Linked DNA regions of Arabidopsis thaliana. The protein of the gene in region 1 purifies or fractionates together with the protein of each later gene. This does not show direct contact. Each region holds a gene or a part of one and is shown on either strand. Other genes may lie near its edges. The genes, in order: CDKB1;2, PMH1, AT5G07310 and AT4G38900.

What was found.
Region 2: the proteins of CDKB1;2 (region 1) and PMH1 purify together in Arabidopsis thaliana (affinity purification with mass spectrometry, with the first as the bait; one large-scale study listed by BioGRID). This does not show direct contact.
Region 3: the proteins of CDKB1;2 (region 1) and AT5G07310 purify together in Arabidopsis thaliana (affinity purification with mass spectrometry, with the first as the bait; one large-scale study listed by BioGRID). This does not show direct contact.
Region 4: the proteins of CDKB1;2 (region 1) and AT4G38900 purify together in Arabidopsis thaliana (affinity purification with mass spectrometry, with the first as the bait; one large-scale study listed by BioGRID). This does not show direct contact.

The regions. Positions count from the first base shown.
Region 1 is NC_003071.7:16,150,900-16,154,881, reverse strand, and holds CDKB1;2 (cyclin-dependent kinase B1;2), read right to left. Parts: upstream 2,410-3,982; 5' UTR 2,332-2,409; coding exon 1,698-2,331; intron 1,616-1,697; coding exon 1,546-1,615; coding exon of another isoform or gene 1,476-1,545; exon of another isoform or gene 1,391-1,475; coding exon 1,252-1,390; exon of another isoform or gene 1,109-1,251; coding exon 1,016-1,108; 3' UTR 796-1,015; downstream 1-795. Other genes in the region: AT2G38630 (Transducin/WD40 repeat-like superfamily protein), read left to right, coding at 1-265, 364-599. UniProt on the Arabidopsis thaliana protein: Together with CDKB1-1, promotes both the last division in the stomatal cell lineage as well as the number of stomata.
Region 2 is NC_003074.8:7,885,295-7,890,930, reverse strand, and holds PMH1 (putative mitochondrial RNA helicase 1), read right to left. Parts: upstream 3,656-5,636; 5' UTR 3,550-3,655; coding exon 3,121-3,549; intron 3,021-3,120; coding exon 2,893-3,020; intron 2,805-2,892; coding exon 2,393-2,804; intron 2,260-2,392; coding exon 2,161-2,259; intron 2,059-2,160; coding exon 1,834-2,058; intron 1,753-1,833; coding exon 1,591-1,752; intron 1,503-1,590; coding exon 1,125-1,502; 3' UTR 778-1,124; downstream 1-777. Other genes in the region: RPS10 (ribosomal protein S10), read right to left, coding at 4,318-4,701, 4,853-5,194.
Region 3 is NC_003076.8:2,303,631-2,307,495, reverse strand, and holds AT5G07310 (Integrase-type DNA-binding superfamily protein), read right to left. Parts: upstream 1,946-3,865; 5' UTR 1,813-1,945; coding exon 1,560-1,812; intron 1,375-1,559; coding exon 836-1,374; 3' UTR 659-835; downstream 1-658.
Region 4 is NC_003075.7:18,138,534-18,143,631, forward strand, and holds AT4G38900 (Basic-leucine zipper (bZIP) transcription factor family protein), read right to left. Parts: upstream 3,418-5,098; 5' UTR 3,187-3,417; exon of another isoform or gene 3,077-3,186; 5' UTR 2,988-3,076; coding exon 1,789-2,987; intron 1,728-1,788; coding exon 1,577-1,727; intron 1,493-1,576; coding exon 1,408-1,492; intron 1,258-1,407; coding exon 1,031-1,257; 3' UTR 762-1,030; downstream 1-761. Other genes in the region: AT4G38890 (FMN-linked oxidoreductases superfamily protein), read right to left, coding at 31-141, 289-567. UniProt on the Arabidopsis thaliana protein: Transcription factor that acts as a repressor of reproductive development, meristem size and plant growth. Regulates meristem size, cell size and cell number during plant development.

The DNA.
Region 1 (3,982 bases):
AATGCTGAGCTGATAGAAGTTAGCAGAACTGACTTCATGACACCATCAGCATTCATATTTTTGTATGAGAATCAGTTGTTTCTAACATTCAGGAACCGAAATGTTTCTGTGTGGAATTTCCGCGGAGAGCTTGTGACCTCGTTTGAGGATCATCTTCTTTGGCATCCAGACTGTAACACAAACAATATCTACATAACAAGCGATCAAGATCTGATCATCTCATATTGCAAGGCAGATACTGAAGATCAGTGGATAGAAGGAAATGGTAAGTAGACTCATCATCCACTCTTCAAATCAAGAAACCTCATGGTCTGATTTTGTTTTGCTATTGAGACATTGTCGTGATTTTGGTTGTTGATGTAGCGGGGTCGATTAACATAAGCAATATCTTGACTGGTAAATGCTTAGCTAAGATAAAAGCAAATAATGGTCCTCCTAAGGAAGAGGACTGCAGCAGTAGTGATTTGGGGAATTCCTCTCGAAGGAGAAGTGCGGTTGCTGAGGCTTTGGAAGACATAACCGCTCTCTTCTACGACGAAGAACGGAATGAAATATACACAGGAAACAGACACGGCCTCCTCCATGTCTGGTCTAATTGAAGCTACTCATCATTTGTTTTGTTTTTTTTACATTAATACAAGAGATCTCTGTATCTTGTTCTGTTTCTCAATTGTGTAATATCATGAGATATGTAATTTACTTGTGTGTTTGAGTAGCAATTGTCGTTGTAATGAAACAGCAAATATTTCAAATTCGTCTCTCATTTATGTACACTAATGATTTGTCTGCTTAATAGGGTTAACCATTTTTGCTTTGATAGACTTGTTTACATGAACAAATAAAATTGGCCACTTAAAGAAGATTCTCTCACTCTCGCTGAACAAACAAGGTTTTCAGATTGTTTAGTTTAAGTACAAATCTTTCTAAAGCACACAGCATAAGACACCAAGACAATAAACTTGAGCCATCAGCTTCAGAACTCCAAAGAGAAGCCTGATCAGTAATTTGGCAGAGGTCAGAACTGAGATTTGTCAAGGCTGTCAAAGTAGGGATGATCGAGAGCTGCTTTTGCTGAAATTCTTTCTGCTGGATTGTACTTCAACATTTGCTGCAATTGTTCAAAGGTTCAAAACAAATTATCATCAACTAGGAACGAACCCCAACAGAAAGAATCTACTAAAGAGATCAAGTATGCAAGAGAATCTTAGGCCACTTCTCCAACAATGGTCATATTTTAGAAAAGAGCATTACCGTGAGAAGATCAATTCCTTCAGGAGATAGAGATGGAACAGCACGTGATAAGTCTTGCGGCTCCCACTTTGGATAGACATGCCAGTCACGCAATGCCATTACACCCGGCCATTGCTGCTCAGTTGGTGTTCCTAACAATCTCCAGAACCCAAAACAAAACCATACTTCAGATATATTGATACTAGACAGTCCCCATAATCCAAATGAGTTCACGAGTACTGAACCTAATGGGCTAAAGTCCTAAACTGGTTCCTGTATACATACACATTGGCATCAAAAACAAGAAGCAAATACCTGAAAATATGAAGTAGTTGCTGAAACTCAGAATCACCAGGGAAAAGAGCTTGCCTCCTAATCATCTCGGCTACAAAAAAATGGGGAAACATCAGTAATCCAAACAGTAGAACAAAAGACCATTAAAAGAGACATAGTAGCTGATTACTAACCAAAGATGCATCCAACAGACCAAATATCAACAGCAGTAGAGTAATGAGTAGAACCAAGCAAAACTTCAGGAGCTCTATACCAAAGAGTAACAATCTCATGTGTATAAGCCTTAAGAGGCACAGTAAAAGCACGACTAAGACCCAAATCAGCAATCTTAAGAATCCCTTTATCCTTATCCAATAGAAGATTCTGCGGTTTAAGATCACGGTGAAGCACACCATGGCTATGACAATGAGCCACACCTTTAAAAAGCTGAAACATAAACCTCTGCACAAGAGAAGCCTCAAGCGGTCTAGGATTCGAGCCCTTTCTATGAGAATCTATAAATTTCTTGAGATCAGTGTCGAGATACTCAAAAACGAGATAGAGATTGGATTTGGGAGAGTGAGAAACAGTCGAATCTTTCGATTGAATAACATGTTCGACGCAGAGGAGACGAACGATGTAGATTGATTGAGAAAGCATTTGGAGAAGAGAGATCTCACGGAGAGCCGTTGGTGGTATACCTTCTTCGTCCATTTCGAGCCTAGTTTTCTTCAGAGCGACGAGTTTTCCGGTGGTTTTCTCCATTGCTTTGTAGACTTTTCCATAGGTTCCTTCACCGACCTTTTCGAGCTTCTCGTATTTCTCCATTGATGGAGGATTTTGAATTGAGACTGATGAATGTTTTTTGTTTGGGTCTTATAAACCCTAAAGCCCCTTTTCGATTTTAGATCTGGTAAATAAAGGCGCCTCTTTGCTATAACGTTTAACATTTGAATCCCTCGCACGCTTCACACGTACCAATAATATTTTATTAGTCAAAGACTCAAAGTCATTTTAAACAGATAAGTATAGTATAAGATATTTGCTTGATTATGTTTATAGATTTCAATTCATTATCCATGGTGAATGTTTAGTTGAATGAATCTATGCATGATCTTTGATGTAAAGCCGGCCCTGAGTACAAAAAGCTAAGCTCATGCTTGCAGCCACAACCCATAATAAAGATTTTTCAGTCATTTATTTTGCTAAACTATTAATATTACTTGAAGAGTCGATCATTTCGCATTAATTGGTTGAAACTTCGAGCTTTTCCAACTTCATTTTAACTTTAATCTAGTATTTAACATACTAATTAATAAGACTATAACTGTTTTAGCTTGTATCCCATTAGTTTTCTCCTTATACGTTAATGTTCAATGTTTGGCACAAACTCAAAAAAAGAATTTCTTACTACGTAGTTTTTTTTCACTTACTCAACCAATTGGAAAAATGTTTAGGTTTGATTTTTTGTGTTCGAATTTGTAACTTCAATTATTTTGGGACTGTGAACTCTTACTCATTATTCATTAATGGTGGGTTGTTTCTTGTGTTCTAGGCTTCTAGTATACATGATTCAACTTCATATGATATTGATTCAGTTTCACATTTTTGATTTATTTCAACTTTATATTCTTCTTACACTCATTCCAATTTCATGTATGGTAATTGCATCAGTTTTGATCGATAGTTACATTAAGAAAACCATTTCTTTTTACAATAAAGATACTACAACAACAACAAAAATTCTGACTAGGTCTACGAATGTGCAAGGTATGCAATTTCACAAACTCATAAAAATCATCATAAGAAGTTCTATGTAAAGGGGAAAGAAAAACAAGATTATAAACAAATTGTGTGTTTCATGTGGAAACTAAACAATGGCTGAATATTAAAAAATTATTGGACTACTATACATAAAAGAAAATTACAATAATGAAAAAGAAAACAAAGATAATATTCAATGATAGGGCATTGACTAAACGAAAGAAAATGGCTTAAAGACTTTAAAGTTGATTATGAAAAACCGTTACTGATTTACTAGGGTCAATAAACTTATTTGCAACCATTTTATTAAGGGAATTTAATGAAAAAAACCGTCAGCTTTGGTCAGATCTATTTTTAAATTCTGAACTATGTTTTTAGTAAAACAAACTCTGAACTAAAACCTGTTAATAAACTTAACCCCATAGTAATTAAATATTAATGGGATATTAATTTCCAAAAATCGACCAAAGAACAATGACAGAATCCGTGATCCAACTGAAGATCGTCCACCTCAAAAAGTTCTTTATACACGTGAAAAAGTTTAAATGGTAAAATAGAGAACAATGAATTATGTTTCACAAGATCTTCATTTTCAAATTATTAAATTTAATCTTTGCATATTTAGACTTGCAGCAATTGTCAACAAGTCGGACACAACAAACGTTCATGCAAGTGTAAAGCAATGCCAAAACCACCCAAGAAACCTCAAGGACGA
Region 2 (5,636 bases), on another chromosome or scaffold:
TGTCCGATAGGAGAAATTAAAGCTTGAAACAACTTATTTGTATTAGTTTTCTATCCAAAAACTTGCAAGATCCGATTCCGACTTGTTTGTATTTGTTCATCCCAACAAATGCCATATTTTGTTAATAATCTGATTCATCACTTGTTTGTCGATAATCCCCATTCCTTAACACCCTAAAAAGAAAAAAATCGTAAATATCAATTTTTAAAATGTTCAAAACTGATACTTCTTCCAGAGTATTACTGACTTCAGATCAGCTGTGGATGAGTGTTGACGGTTGTACAGGCGCCGTTCTTGAGTTTTTTTCAAAATGTCTCCAAATGGAGAAGCTGGGGGATGGTGTTGAGATGGCTACCATTGATTTGCATGCCCTTGTGGGTGGTGTTGACTGTTTTACTCATCTCAATGATTCTTATACCACCACCTGAACGCCTTTCAACGTTTATGGGATCTCAGCTTTGTAACCCTCAGAATCACCAAGTATGTGTACAAGAACCCGTTCTTGGGCCTATAAGACTGGATGAAACTAAATCTGGATTCACTGCAAAGGGGATCACACCCAAGGAGCTTGGTATTATTATGCTAGCTATGCAGAGCCAAGCCTTTTCGTTCAGCAGCTAGTTGCATGCTCTTGCTATGCAGTGCATCAAGTTTTGCGAAATGAAGGCTAATTAGTTGTGAAACATAAGAGTAATGCTTTTTGTAGTGAACAATAATTGTCGACTGTGTTTTATTTTTGTTGGTCAGATATGAGAATTAAAGCTTAAAACAATTTTTCTTGTGTATGGTTCTACCAAAAACTTGCAAGATCTAACAAGAAATCAAAACTAGGGATGATTTGAATCTTTGATCAACCACATTATTTCCTTTTCTCACAATCTAACAAGATTCATAAATGGAAGTGGCGAAGTAAGGGAAACACATTTCACTCAAATTGAGAAATAAAAATGAATTAGAGGATATGAAATAATGATATAACTTATGTTGGTTTATGAGACAAGAAGTAGCTACAGAATTTATATATAGCTCGACTCCTTGTAAACTACTCAACTCGAGATACCGAGTTCTCTCCTAAGTCAACTCCATTATTGCTGAGTCGGGTCAAAACCAACACAACACTTCTCTCAGTAAGATCTTTTACCATCGTTTGATCCAAACCCACCAAAGCTGCTCCTTCCACTTGACTGAGAAGAACGGTCTGAACCAAATCCTCCTGAAGAACCGCCTGAACCAAAGCTTCCGAAACCAGATGAGCGGTCTGAACCACCAGAGTAACGGCTGCTTGATCCCCCTGAACCTCCATAACTACCACCACCACCACCTGAACGGCCACTGCTGCCACCATAACCTCCATAACTACCACCACCTGAACGGCCACTGCTGCTACCGTAACTACCATACCCACCACCGCCTGATCGACCTCCTCCGAACGACCCACCAGATCTAGCACCTACTCCTTCAAACATGCTTGCGCTTCCTCTTTCCACAGCAATGCTAGGCAGCTGAATTCAAAACCAAATAGATTCAGAACTGTTTGTTACCCAAGCTATTCATACAAAAGATACAAAGGTGGTAAAGAAAGATATTAACCTCATTGAATCTGCTTCCGACTTCTTTCTCAATCATTTTAACAGCCCTGGTTTGATCTTGACCGTGGATGAGAATCGCGCTTCCTTTCTTTCCAGCACGACCAGTTCGCCCCGTTCGGTGAACAAACGTCTCCGTGTTATTAGGAAGCTCATAATGAATTACCTGTACACAAAGCACAATACAGGTTAATAAAATGAGAAACAGAACTAGTTAAGCGCAAGAAAAGGTATTGTTTTCACTCACTAAATCGACATTAGGTACATCAAGTCCACGGGCAGCAACATCAGTTGCAACAAGAATACTGAAATTCCCATCCCTGAAACCAGCAAGTGTTCTTTCTCTCTGAGCTTGAGATATGTCACCGTGTAAAGCTTCACATTTATAGCTTTTTGCCAATCCAAATGCAAGGCGATCTGCATCACGTTTTGTTTGGGTAAAGACAATGCATTTTCCTCCTTTGCCATGTTCCTGTAAAGGAGAAGATGTTATAAAATCACGACTGGAAACAAAAATGAAGAATCAAAACAAGATACAGATAATTGGCTTAAAAGCAAAGTAAAGAAAACATACCTTTACAAGAGGACCAATGATGGATGCTCTTCCATAAGAATCTGCAGCGATAGAATACATAGTAATCCCATCTGCAAGTTTCTGATCTGAATCTCCAACCTAAATTACATAAGAGTACATGTGTCATTAAAAAATGTCACTTCATTAACTACACTGCTACAGCCAAGATCAATATTTGCAATTTGTACAGCAATTCTAAGATATAAACACAAGCAGGTATAAGACTACTCACAAGATCAATTGTCAAAGGATTGTTCAGGTACTTCTTGGTGAGAGATCTGATCCAACTTGGCATTGTTGCAGAAAACATCATACTCTGACGCTTCGCTGGCAACTTCTGCAATATTATTTCAACATCTTCCGCAAATCCAACTTGAAGCATCTGATCAGCTTCATCAAGAACCACAAACTGAACCTCTGATAGATTCAAAGCTCCCCTTTTCATCAGATCAATGATACGACCAGGAGTTCCAACCGCCACATCAATACCATAGTTCAGCTCCCTCATTTGTTGCCCGATTGGTGTACCTCCATAGAGACAAATAGTATCCAAACTTGGAGCAGATTCCCTGAACTCTTTCTCAACCTGACGAGCAAGCTCCCTCGTCGGTGCCAAAACCAAGCACTGAGGATTCTTCCCACGACTGTCACATCAAAAGACAACATAAGAACCAAAGGAAGTGCAAATCTCTCAATCACAAATGATCGTTATATATAACAGTAAACACAAACCCATGTTTAGCGTTGAATTTGATGATTTTGTCAATAATAGGAATCCCAAAAGCAAGTGTCTTTCCCGTTCCAGTCCTTGCACGGCCAATCATATCACGACCCTCCATCGCTGGCTCCAACACAGCTTTCTATTCAACCAAACACAAACATCAAAAACTCAGTTAAAAAAATCTAAACTTTTAATTGATCTCTATAACCAAATGGAACAGAGAAGAAGATCATATATACCTGAATAGGAAAGAGTTTCTCAATACCCCTACCCTTCAAAGCTTTAACAATCTCCGGAGATATACCAAGATCAGCTATCGCAAGCCCATCACCACCACCGCTGCTACCAACACTCTCCGAATCTCCAATCCCTCCATCGTTCTCATAAGAAGGAGCATACTCTTGAGCCGCGAATCCCGCAGAAGAAACAATCGACGATCTAAACTCCGACGGTACAGATTTAACATGAAAGTCTCTCACTTTAACACCAAAAGGGCTCGAATTCGAAGGGAGAGACTTGACATTAGTAGCTCCATTTGCTAGATCGGAGACTGTGGCGGCGGCTGGAGCAAGGTTATGAAATAGAGCTGCGTTAATGGAGGTCACCGAAGCGGCGAGAGTACGCCTTGACGTACCAAGGATAGATCGGCGAAGTACTGTGCTAATCATTTTCAGATTTCAGAGAGTGTGATGGATTCTGGTGAAGATGAAATGTGAAACCCCAGAAATGAGAATTAGGGTTTTAGGGAGACGGCAAAAGGGTTTAGAGATTTAAGAAGAAGAATCAAAGGCGGGTATAAAGGGAACTTTGTTATAATCACCTGCGGGTGAGTGTATGGTATGTTCCTACACGTGCAAGCTTGTGTAAGGAAACAGAGTTGATTATTATTTTTTGCTTGAGCCCAAAGGTGTTCTTGAATGTGAAGCAAAGAGTTAATGAGTTCTGTTTTTTGTAACTTTGTGTAGTGTGGCAAATTGGCAATAGCTCAGGTTCGGAATCAGATCTATCAAATTAACCTATACCATATGTCTCAAATCATTAGTGATTATGTACAATGTAAAAGTCTTAGAATTGCCTAATGAATGAATACACCTAAAATGTGAGCTCTTGGATCCTTAAAGTTCGACATCATTCCATGGTCGGGTCAAAGGTTTCTATAACTTCTCAAAATGACACCTTTAGCAGTCTAAATGTGTCTCAATCCTTGGTGATGTATAAAGACTTTGATTGGCTAATGAATAAATGGAAAGCACTGTAACTGAAACTCAATTGTATCTTTCAAAATCGTCCAAAAACACATGTTTATACTAAGCAAGAAAATAACTACTTGATCTGATGTGAAGCAAAGCTGGTTTCATGGATCCGTAAGGTTCGAAATTATTGCATAGTACCCGGTTGGGTCTTGAAACTTCTACAAAATGATGTCTTTAGCCATCTCAGTAAGCATTGGTGGTGGAGCCATTGATGTTGCCTAACACTTGAGTCATATCCAAACGGGTCTTGCAATGGAACTGGAGTTCATATTGAGCTCCAAGAATACGATAACGTTTTAACCAAAACAGCTTCTTGCTCAACTCATGACTCTGAGCTTTGATGACAAGAAACCGTTTCTTGAACCTCATCTCAAACTGTTCTCTAGACTTCTTATCGACGTGAGGCGATCTTAGCACCGTGTACAGAGTTCGTGTATCGGGCATTGCGACTTTACGAGTGTGAGGAGGAAGACACCAAGCTTGCTTTTCCGGGTTAACAAAAGACCGAATCGCTATACAAATCTTTGTTCCTTTTATCTTTGATGTGCTTTCTTCTGCTGCCTCTTTCTACAATTCAACCCCAAACACACAACAACAACAACATAAACAACAGTTCTAAATCATTTCAATGAATTTCACATTCCGATTCCTATTCGAATTTGAATCTGATGAAGCACTTTGAATAATATTCTATGAATTTGAACAAAAATGCATATACCTGGAGAGCGATCTCCTTCCTACTCAATGGTCTGACATTGTCTGGAGAAATTTTAATCTTAGCTTTCTTAATCTCGTTTTTGCGATCCTTTGTGACAGTGGCGTAACCTTGTGACGCGATTCCTGCGGGAACAATCATCGACGGCTCAGATCTAATGTGGATGTTCCTCGCTCTGATGCCAAACGAGTTAGGAGACGACGCGAGAGTGAATCGAGAGCTGACGGAAGCTCCGGTGGTGGCTGGAGTGAGATTGTGCGAAATACACGAATTGAAGGAGGCTAACGCGGCGGAGAGAGTCTGCCTCGACGGGAGTGAAGATCGGCGCAATACTCCGGCGATCATTTTCAGATTCAACGGTGAGACGAAGAAATGACGACGAGAGATTGAAGGAAATCTGAAAAACCCCAAATTAGGGTTTCAGTGAAAGAGTAAGCGAAATCAGAGAGAATTGTGAGGACAGGATCACCTGTGACGAGTGTACGTTATCTTACGGTGAGCTACAGTATAATTTTGTTTTTTTACTGAGACAAGTGAAAAGATGCAAAAATGTTAAAATCCCAGGAAGCAAGGTGAATAAAAATTACAAATTAACTCTACTAGTTTAACCAGAGATAATCAGAGTAATACATAAGAGAGACTCAAAAAAAAACTATATCCATGGATTCTAGAGTTTCTGAGTAATGTAATCATCAATCCTGGAATCTCTGGTGGGTGTTGTTGTCTGAAGAAGGCAGATACAAGTTTTGGGATTTGAGAGATTCTTCTTCCTTCCTTTGGTTTTTTT
Region 3 (3,865 bases), on another chromosome or scaffold:
AAAACAAAGTACTTTTGAAACCCTGATATAACGACTTCGTAATATATATATCAAGATACACTTCTTTTTGTCAACAAACGTAAAACTATACGACATTAATTCTAACTAAAGTCTACGGTGTTTTCGAATAACCAGGCCATAAACTATTACACGCACGTAGTAATTTTTTGAATTCAAACTGACTGAAGAGATCCCCCAAAACAGTCCAATAAAATTGGAAAGGAAATTGTGTATGTATAAACTTGATATATAATTACTTAAATCAAGGCTGTCATCTTAGTCCAAGAAAACGGGACGAAAAATATTAAAACTAAACGACTCTCAACAGATGTTATTAGTACTGTCATGTAGGTATGCTACTTTGCCTTATGTCTTGTAAGATACACGGTAGAAAATGTATTTTCATTCAATAAATAAAAAGCTTTGGTTTGTTATATCTGCGTTGGCAATATAATGGCCACATAACAACGCAATTCGGAATTTAGCAGTTATTAATGCTATAATTTTATGTGTCTACATGTGTGTTTGTTTGGGGGAACTCCAATAAATTTAAAGGGTAACACTCTTGTGTATTTATAATTTCTTCTTTAATACAAAACGAATTACCCCACCCAAAAAAAAAAAAAAAAAAAAAAAAAAACTTAAAACAAATCCAAATGCAAGGGTTACAAACAAAGAACCCATGAAAAACTCTTGAAAGAAGTAAACAAAGTGATCACAAACAAAAACACACGCATAATGAAAAATACAAATACAAAAAAAAACTCAATTAGAAAACATATGATCCCCTCATAACAAGTGACCCAAATCCTTTATTATCAGTTTATTGAAGATCTCAAAAACCAGAATTAGGAGGTGAAGAATCCCCAAAACGCAAATATCTGGCGTAATCTTGTTCATCATCTTGTTGCCTTGAAGATCCACCAGAAGATGAAGAATTTGTAGTAGATAACGTCTGATGATTATACATTGAGCCTCCGGTTTCTCCACCGGCCAAGCTATAACTTAATGCATCGTTACTATTCCCCCCTTGATGAAGATATTGGTTATAGTAGTATTGGTTAAAATAAGGTATGGTTTGCGGATTAGTCTGCGGATTTGAGTAGTAAATTTGATTATTAGAAGAATAATAGTTTGGTGGACCGGTAGTTGTACTAGTGTTACTTGCTAGTTGAGCTCTCTCAGGGAAATTGAGTTTGGCTTTGCTTCCTTTGAACTTAAGAGCTGCGTTATCATAAGCTAAAGCCGCAGCTTCAGCAGTCTCAAATGTCCCGAGCCACACCCGTGCTGCCTTTTGCGGATCCCGAATTTCAGCTGCCCACTTTCCCCATGGTCGTTGTCTTACCCCTCTATAGTGCCTCTTCCTCAATAGCCCTAATCAACAAGAGAAAACATTCGTATATATACTTGATATATTTCTCATATATACTACATGGATATATTCGTCGTCCAGAGCACAAATTCAACTGCTATTATAAAACATTATGCTCATTTTTTCATTCACATATATCATCCCATAAATATGGTAACTAATTTGTCAACTATATATGTAAATATACCTTGATCTTGAGTTGGAGGAGCCGGTGGGTTAGGATCTTGTTGATTATACACAACAGGTTGATGTTGGTTATTATCATGAGAGCTGCTTTGGTTTCCAATGACTTGAGTCAAGGCTGAGACCATGGCACGCATGTCATATTGGGATCGGGCAGAGAAGAAAGGGAATATGTTCTCATCATCATCGGCTTCTTTCTTTTCATCCGATTCATCGCCTCGAAAGGGCCTCTTTCCATAATTTCCTGAATTCGCCATCTTTGCTAAAATCTTTAAACCTCTTTTTTCAGGTGATCTCGATTGTGTCTGTAAATTTAGGGTTTAAGATTTGGAATTGAGGATGTCTTGAATATGAGAAACAAAGAAAAGACGAAGAAGGAGAATGAAAGAGGGAATATATAATTAGGGTTTTAGGGGTGAGCTATTTTGACGGTTTTATAGAAGCTTTTTCGTCTGTGTGAACATAAGACAAATGACAAAACAAAATTTAACGTCAAGCAGAAGTTTTGCATATTTTTAAAAAAATTATATATTTTTCTAGCTATTGTAATTTTCGATATAGAAAATCATGTACTATATCAGTGTACCCTGCTAAAACTGTAGAGACGCGTGAAAAAAGCTTTTTGATTTGATTATTGCAAAAAATGTGTACGTGTGAATCTGAACAAGTTAAGAAATGGATATCAATAAAGATTAGTAGAAAAGCTCTAATAGAAGAATGTAAAATAATATGAACGCTATGTAAAGCTCCAAGATGACAAAAAGAAAAAAATAAAGAAGGAGTGCATGCATATATACATATTCTGTTTAATTGCTTTTTTGAGAAAACATGCATGGAATCGAAGAAGAGAAAAGAAAAATAATTATATTCTTTTGGAAGTTTGATTTAAATACAAAGAAACATAGATATTCTTCGTGTATAACTATAAACCGACATTCTCTGGAAAAGTTAAGGAATAAGAAAATAATCAAATTGTTTTACATATATGTTGTGATATAGAAAAGGAGTTTACGTTACGCGAGAGTGGGGTCTTTTCTCCCCTATAAAATATTTGGATAGAGATTGAAAGACAAATTTAGTTATATTCGAGAAATGTGTACACATTGATCACTAACTCAAGTAAAAACGTGTGAAATGTTGTTATTGAGGCTCTTTCTACTTTTGATAGATAATTCGAAGAGGATTTCTAATTTCATCTATATCTAGAAATAGTTCAGTTAAATGAGTAATGAAAAAACATTTTTACATGCAAACACCAAGTCCAAGATTCAAGTTTTAGAAAGAAAAAAAGAGATAAGATTATCACAATTCAGGAGATCAAAATTGGAGTAAATTTTCATACTCACTTAAAATGTATATATAGATAACGGGTTAGATTACTATTAATGTTTTTTAATAAACGATAAAAAGAAAAATTAGTGGATCTAGGGAAAGTTTACAGTAATATATTAACATTTAAAGCACCATTTTGGTATTAAACAAACAAATTATTATAAGGATATGCTCACACACACAAAAAAAAAAACATTTTGTATGGGCCCTTGACAAGTCGCAATTCACAACTAACGATATTTGTTGATCTCAAATATTTAATTTCCTAAAATCTAGCTTTTGATATTCTAAGAAATAACTTTTTTTAGGTATAGACAGAGCTTTTTTTCTCATTACGGAAGTAGGAAAGAAACCAAGAGAGTTGCAATCGAGAAACTGTTGTCTTTTTTTAGTCATGTTTGCACGTGGCACACATGACACATGTGTTTGTTTGTTATTCTTTCTCAACAACAAGCAACATGCTTTTTTTGTTTCTTTGTAATGTATTAACTATTAAAGTAAAAAATATGTAATATTCAAACTTGATTATAAATACATTGAAATAAAAACATAACATATAGCATGGCATCTGATAAAACGTAGGATAACACGTTTTGACGGGACGACGAAAAAATAATTTCTGTTCAGGATTGCTGTTCAGGATGTATAACGTACTCATTTGACTATGGATAAATATGATTTGATATTATTATGATCTATTAAATTAGCCAACTTTTCTACGTCTAAATTATACAAAAATGACATTATATAGCTAAGATTACGAGAAAAGAAAGTGACTTTTTTAATAAGAAAGTCAATCTGATAGAAAAAAGGTTGAGAGTATCTTACAACGACATGTCAATGAATTTGAATTTAAATGAAAAAATTAAACTTTAAAACAGGATATACACATGGCATGTGTAGGTATTTTCAGATTTGTTGACGAGAACGAAGAAACAACATTTTGTGAATTTGCCAAGCAGGGAAAATGAGTTTAAC
Region 4 (5,098 bases), on another chromosome or scaffold:
ACAGTAAAATGCAAAAAAGTGAGTGAGTACCTGAGCCTTGAAAGCCTCAATATCATGATTAAACCGGCACTTGTCTTTATACTGACATGAATCAACGTCTTCTGTTCTCGCAACCTGCGGACAGAGATTGATCGTAGATTGCTGCAAGAAGAAAGAGCATAAATTAATCCCTCCTGTTCTAAACTCTCTCTCATATCCAATGGTTTCAGTTGCCAAAAAAACTAGTTCTTAAAACATAGATAGATTCGAAGCTATACATACAAGCACCGATGTGATTCGAATCAATACCTCGCGGCGTTCCCGTTTCAGTTGTCGTTTAGATTTCTTCTCCTGAACCAAACCCGATTGAGGCGCCCTAACATCGGCGGCATCATTTTGCTTCACGGAACGGCTTGGAGGAGGAGGACAAAGGAACTCCTTCTTAATAGGAGCCATTGATCGTTCTATAAGCTCTTCCGAAGTCGCTTCATACACAGAGAACTGTTTCGTCGATTGAACCGGTAACGCAGCCTTTGCATCTCCTTCAACACTAGTATCCACCGCGTGCTCCGCTATTACATCTGACATAGCGGTCAAGCTCCGTCGTCACGAAAATGAAGTGAGTGATAGTGTTTGTTAGGGTTTTAGATATTATTCACAGAGAGAGACGAAGAAGGCAACAATGTTTTGGGATGCTGTTTAATGGGCCAAAAACCGGCCCATAATGTTAAAATAAACAAACCAACAAAAAGAGACAGAATCCAAGACTAAATTAAAAACTAAAAACAAAACAAACAGAGAATCTTTTTGTCTGAAGCTCAATCAATCCCATTACATATAACTTGTGTTCATAGTTCATACCTATATCTACTATAAATTGAATTTTTTCTTTCTAAGATAACAACATATTGTAAAATTAAATTTCTTGGACTTATATGATATATATGTAAATTCAACTGACTCTGCACATAAATGAAATATAATGTTTGATTTGATATGTAACTTGTTGAAAAACTCCAACCCTTTGATCCACCGCAACAACTTCTCTGCTCTATTCATTTGATTCAGATTTTGTTGCCATGGTTCCATTCTGGTGGTTCTGCTGATGAGACTGTTGCTGCATCTGTTGTGGCTGCTGTCTTAACTGGCTGATGTTGAGTTGCTGGAACATCTCAGCGTTGAGTGATTGCATCTTTGATCTCTCTGATTCGTTCTGACTGCTCTCACCGATTGCCAGTTTCAGTCGCTGGACTTCTCCATTCAGTGCTTCGTTCAGAGCTGCAAAGCGGGGGAAAAAAATCGTCATTTCACATTCGTTAAGCGCAAAAATGGAGATTTTTTTAAAGCATATAGGATCTGGTTCCATTTTTTGTTAAAGTCATGTTAATAATATCGTAAATTTGATACAATGTGAAGAGAAATGTATACCATCGCGAAGACGCGCTTGTTGCTCCATTGCTTGAAGCCGGAACTTAAGCTCATTGTTCTGATTTGTCAACCCCATCATATCGCGCTGGATAATGCAGTAACTAAGATCGTTAGAACAAAACAAAAATTGACCAATCTAGGCGCTTTTATAACATTGTAAACAACGCACCTGCAAAAGTGTGAGCTGAGCAGACAATGTGGTAGCCTCGGTCTGAAGAGTCTGCACTTTGTGTTCCAATTCTACTATGTACCGCATCTTCCTCTCCTTTGACCGTGCTGCGGATTGACGGTTCGCTAAGATTCTGAAAAGAGGATCATTCCTTAAACATCAGAATATTTGATTATAAACCGGTAATGTTAGTCAAGATTCAATATTTGTACCTTTTGACACGTTTAGGGTCAGACATGGCCATCTCTGCTAGTTTATCATTTGCCATGATCTTCTTCATTTCCGCTGCAGTAAACTCACCGTTATTGAACTCGATGCTAAAAGCAGCACCCGAGTTCCCATCAACCGAATTGGTAGGGGAAACTTTCCTTGACATAGATCCAGGAGAAGGAGGCGGCTTTAGAGATTCATCACCAAAAGACAACTTCTCCATGAAACAACTGTCCACTGAAACACTCCTGTAATGTCTGGTGGTAGGAGCAATATCTCCTCCAGCCGCTCTTCTCTTCACGCTCTCTCTCTTTTCACCAGAAGAATTCATATTATTATTGGCACTCTCATTGACACTGCTGCTCTCTCCTTCCGTATCACTACCGTTAGTCTTGGTCCCGCTTGCTCTGCTGCTCTCCATATCATCCCTATTCTCATTACCGTTCTTGCTATCATCAGCTTCAGAGGAGTTCAACACATCAATGTTTTCAAGATTCATATATGCTGAGAAGAGATCATCCATAGCTTCTCTCTCTCCGACACCTTCCCTTTCGCAGCTCGATTCCTTCTTCACAAAAGGATTAGACTTTGACCAATCAGCACACTCCCCACCAGAAAAAGACCTCTCCAATGGTCTCGGAGGGATCAAAGGCATCGAATTAAACCCACTGGGGATATCACTGTTGGAGCGTCTATGAGACTTTCTCGGAGGTAAACTCTCACCGACTCTCAAGGAGCTAGAAGAGGTCGAATTACACCTCGTGAACGGCGATGGAGGCAACGAATGGTTGCTGTTAAACACGCCGGAATCTCTATCCTCCATTGAAACATCGTGATCTCGAAACGGAGAAGGGCTTAACGGAGGTAAGGAGTCAAAAGAGAAGAAAGAGTTGGGCTGTGACATTGACCGTGAATGATTAGCTCCTCCCGGGTTAAAATTATGCGAACCGGGTTGTCGGGTGGTCGGGATCTGAGAAAACGGAGAAGTCGGTGGGATTAAGTTGGGGTGCGACGGAGGAACACCGATTCGTTTGCCACTGTCACTGAAAGGCTTGGAGAATTGAGGAGCTGATGAGCGGATGAAATTAGGGTTTAAATCGAGCTGAGAAATGGGATTTTTGGGAATGGAAGAAGAAGTAGTGCCGAAAGATGAATGAAGTCTCTGGATCATATCACTGTTACACTTCTCTGTATCACCCATTTTAGATCGGATAATGCAGTTTCTAATTCTCACCACTCTCCAATAACTAGAGAAAACCCCTAAAAGATCAAGCTTTGTGTAGAACTAACCTATCATCAAAAAAGAATCAATGATGAGAAGAAAACAAGCATCAAAGTTTTCAAAAGAATTTGACAGAAAAATCAGAGCTTTGGAGAGTAAAATGCAAGTTGGTGGTTACCTCTAACTTCAACGCACTTGAATTAATCAATGGCGCAAATGGCGAGAACGTATTTTGAAGAATGACAAAATCTTTTTTTTTTTTTCTCTCTGTCTCTCAACGTTGAATTAAGAAACTTATCTAATCAATCTTCTTCTTCTCTCTCTCTCTATAGAAATTGGAGAATCACAGAGCCATTTTCTCTTTCTTTTCTTTTTTCCTCCGCAATTTTCTCTCCCCTTTGATTTTTTTTTTCTCGAGAGAGAATAGTAAAAAAAAACTCGATAGAGACGACGACTTTTTTTTTTCTTTTTTGACACGAGCAAGACAGTGTAAACTCTAAAGTAGTACTAGTAACAAAGAAAAACAAAAGACACGGATTTCATGAGAAGTAAGAGAAAAAGAAGAAATATAAAAACACCCAACAAGACGCGTGAATTTACCACAACCTCCCAAGATTTTCTATTTAATGCAATTCTATCCAAAACTTTATATAAATTTGGATTTGTTATTTTTTAGCCATTTATTTCAAATGTTTTTTTAAGTAAAAATCTGTGTATATTGAGTATCAAATACGAATTTAACATATATATTCCTCATTCATATGATTACATTGTATATATATACGGTTATTTTTTGGATAAAGATCTAAAACTTGTTTAGTTTCACAATATTACTGGTTTGACAAAATGAATTTTAGGAATAATATTCTTTGTCATCCGAAATGGAAGTTAAAACCATTTAGCGAAAATGTTTCTTTTTATTTTTGATGATTTGAATATGGATTTGAGATTCAATTCTATTCCGACCACAATTGACATTCTTGTCTAGACGAAAGATTCTGTCCTCCTTATGTTGTCATGTACAATGTAAAAAGCCATTCTTTGTATTTTCTTTAATTATGCCTCTCTTACTTATATATTTCTTTAAATAATATGTAATGGACCGCCATATTGAATGATTTGTTCCCGACTTATTTGTCTACACCAATAATTTCTTTGTTTACGAATTTTAGAGATCGTCTGTGTTGATCTCGTGCTTCATCGTTTATTTATGTAAGGACGATGACAGATAGGTTCGTTCATTTTGGTGATTAATCTATCAACCGTTTCAAGGCTTGGTGCAAAAATGTTCTAAACGGTGGTAACCAGAGTTTACAATCTTTGTAAACAATTTCTAAGATCTAGATTTCACCTATCAATATAATTATATACTTCATTTGCTTTTAATTAGATGAACCCCACCACACAACAAATATTGACTCTTTATAACCACCTCCCTCCATGTTTCTCGTAAATATCTACATATCATTATTTGATTCTACGATTATAGTATTTTACTAGGTGTTTAGTCGCACTACCCGCGGTTTGTTGCGTCAATTCTTTTTATTTTAATTTTTTAAAAGAAATCAAATTACAATGCACGTTTTAAGAAATTTTCTATTTTTGTAAAAAAATTCAGTTTCAAATATAGATTTGACATCAAAATAATCAAAGATAACCAATGATTTTCTTATTTAAATGAACTACTAGTATTTTTGTTCCTTAAGAAATTAATAGAAGACATAGAACAGCGTGTGAAAATGATAATTGAAAGTCGTAATTAAGGTGTTAAATCACGTGGATTAAGTCGTAGTCATATCATAAATGGTCGTGTTACAATTAATTAACAGGAACCGAATAACATCACTATACTGGAGTATTAACGAAACTATAATGCACGTTTTAAAAATCAAACCACGGTGGTTTAAGAAATAAAATTGTTTGATTGAGTAATTATGTAAAGTTTGTATGTGCAACGGATATGATCTACCGATCTAAACGTGGGCCAAACATATTAATCAGATTAATATAAGTGGGGGCAGTGTTCGTCTTGATCACGTTTGAATTAATTTCACAAACAATATTATGCCTGCATCACAAATTAAGAGTTT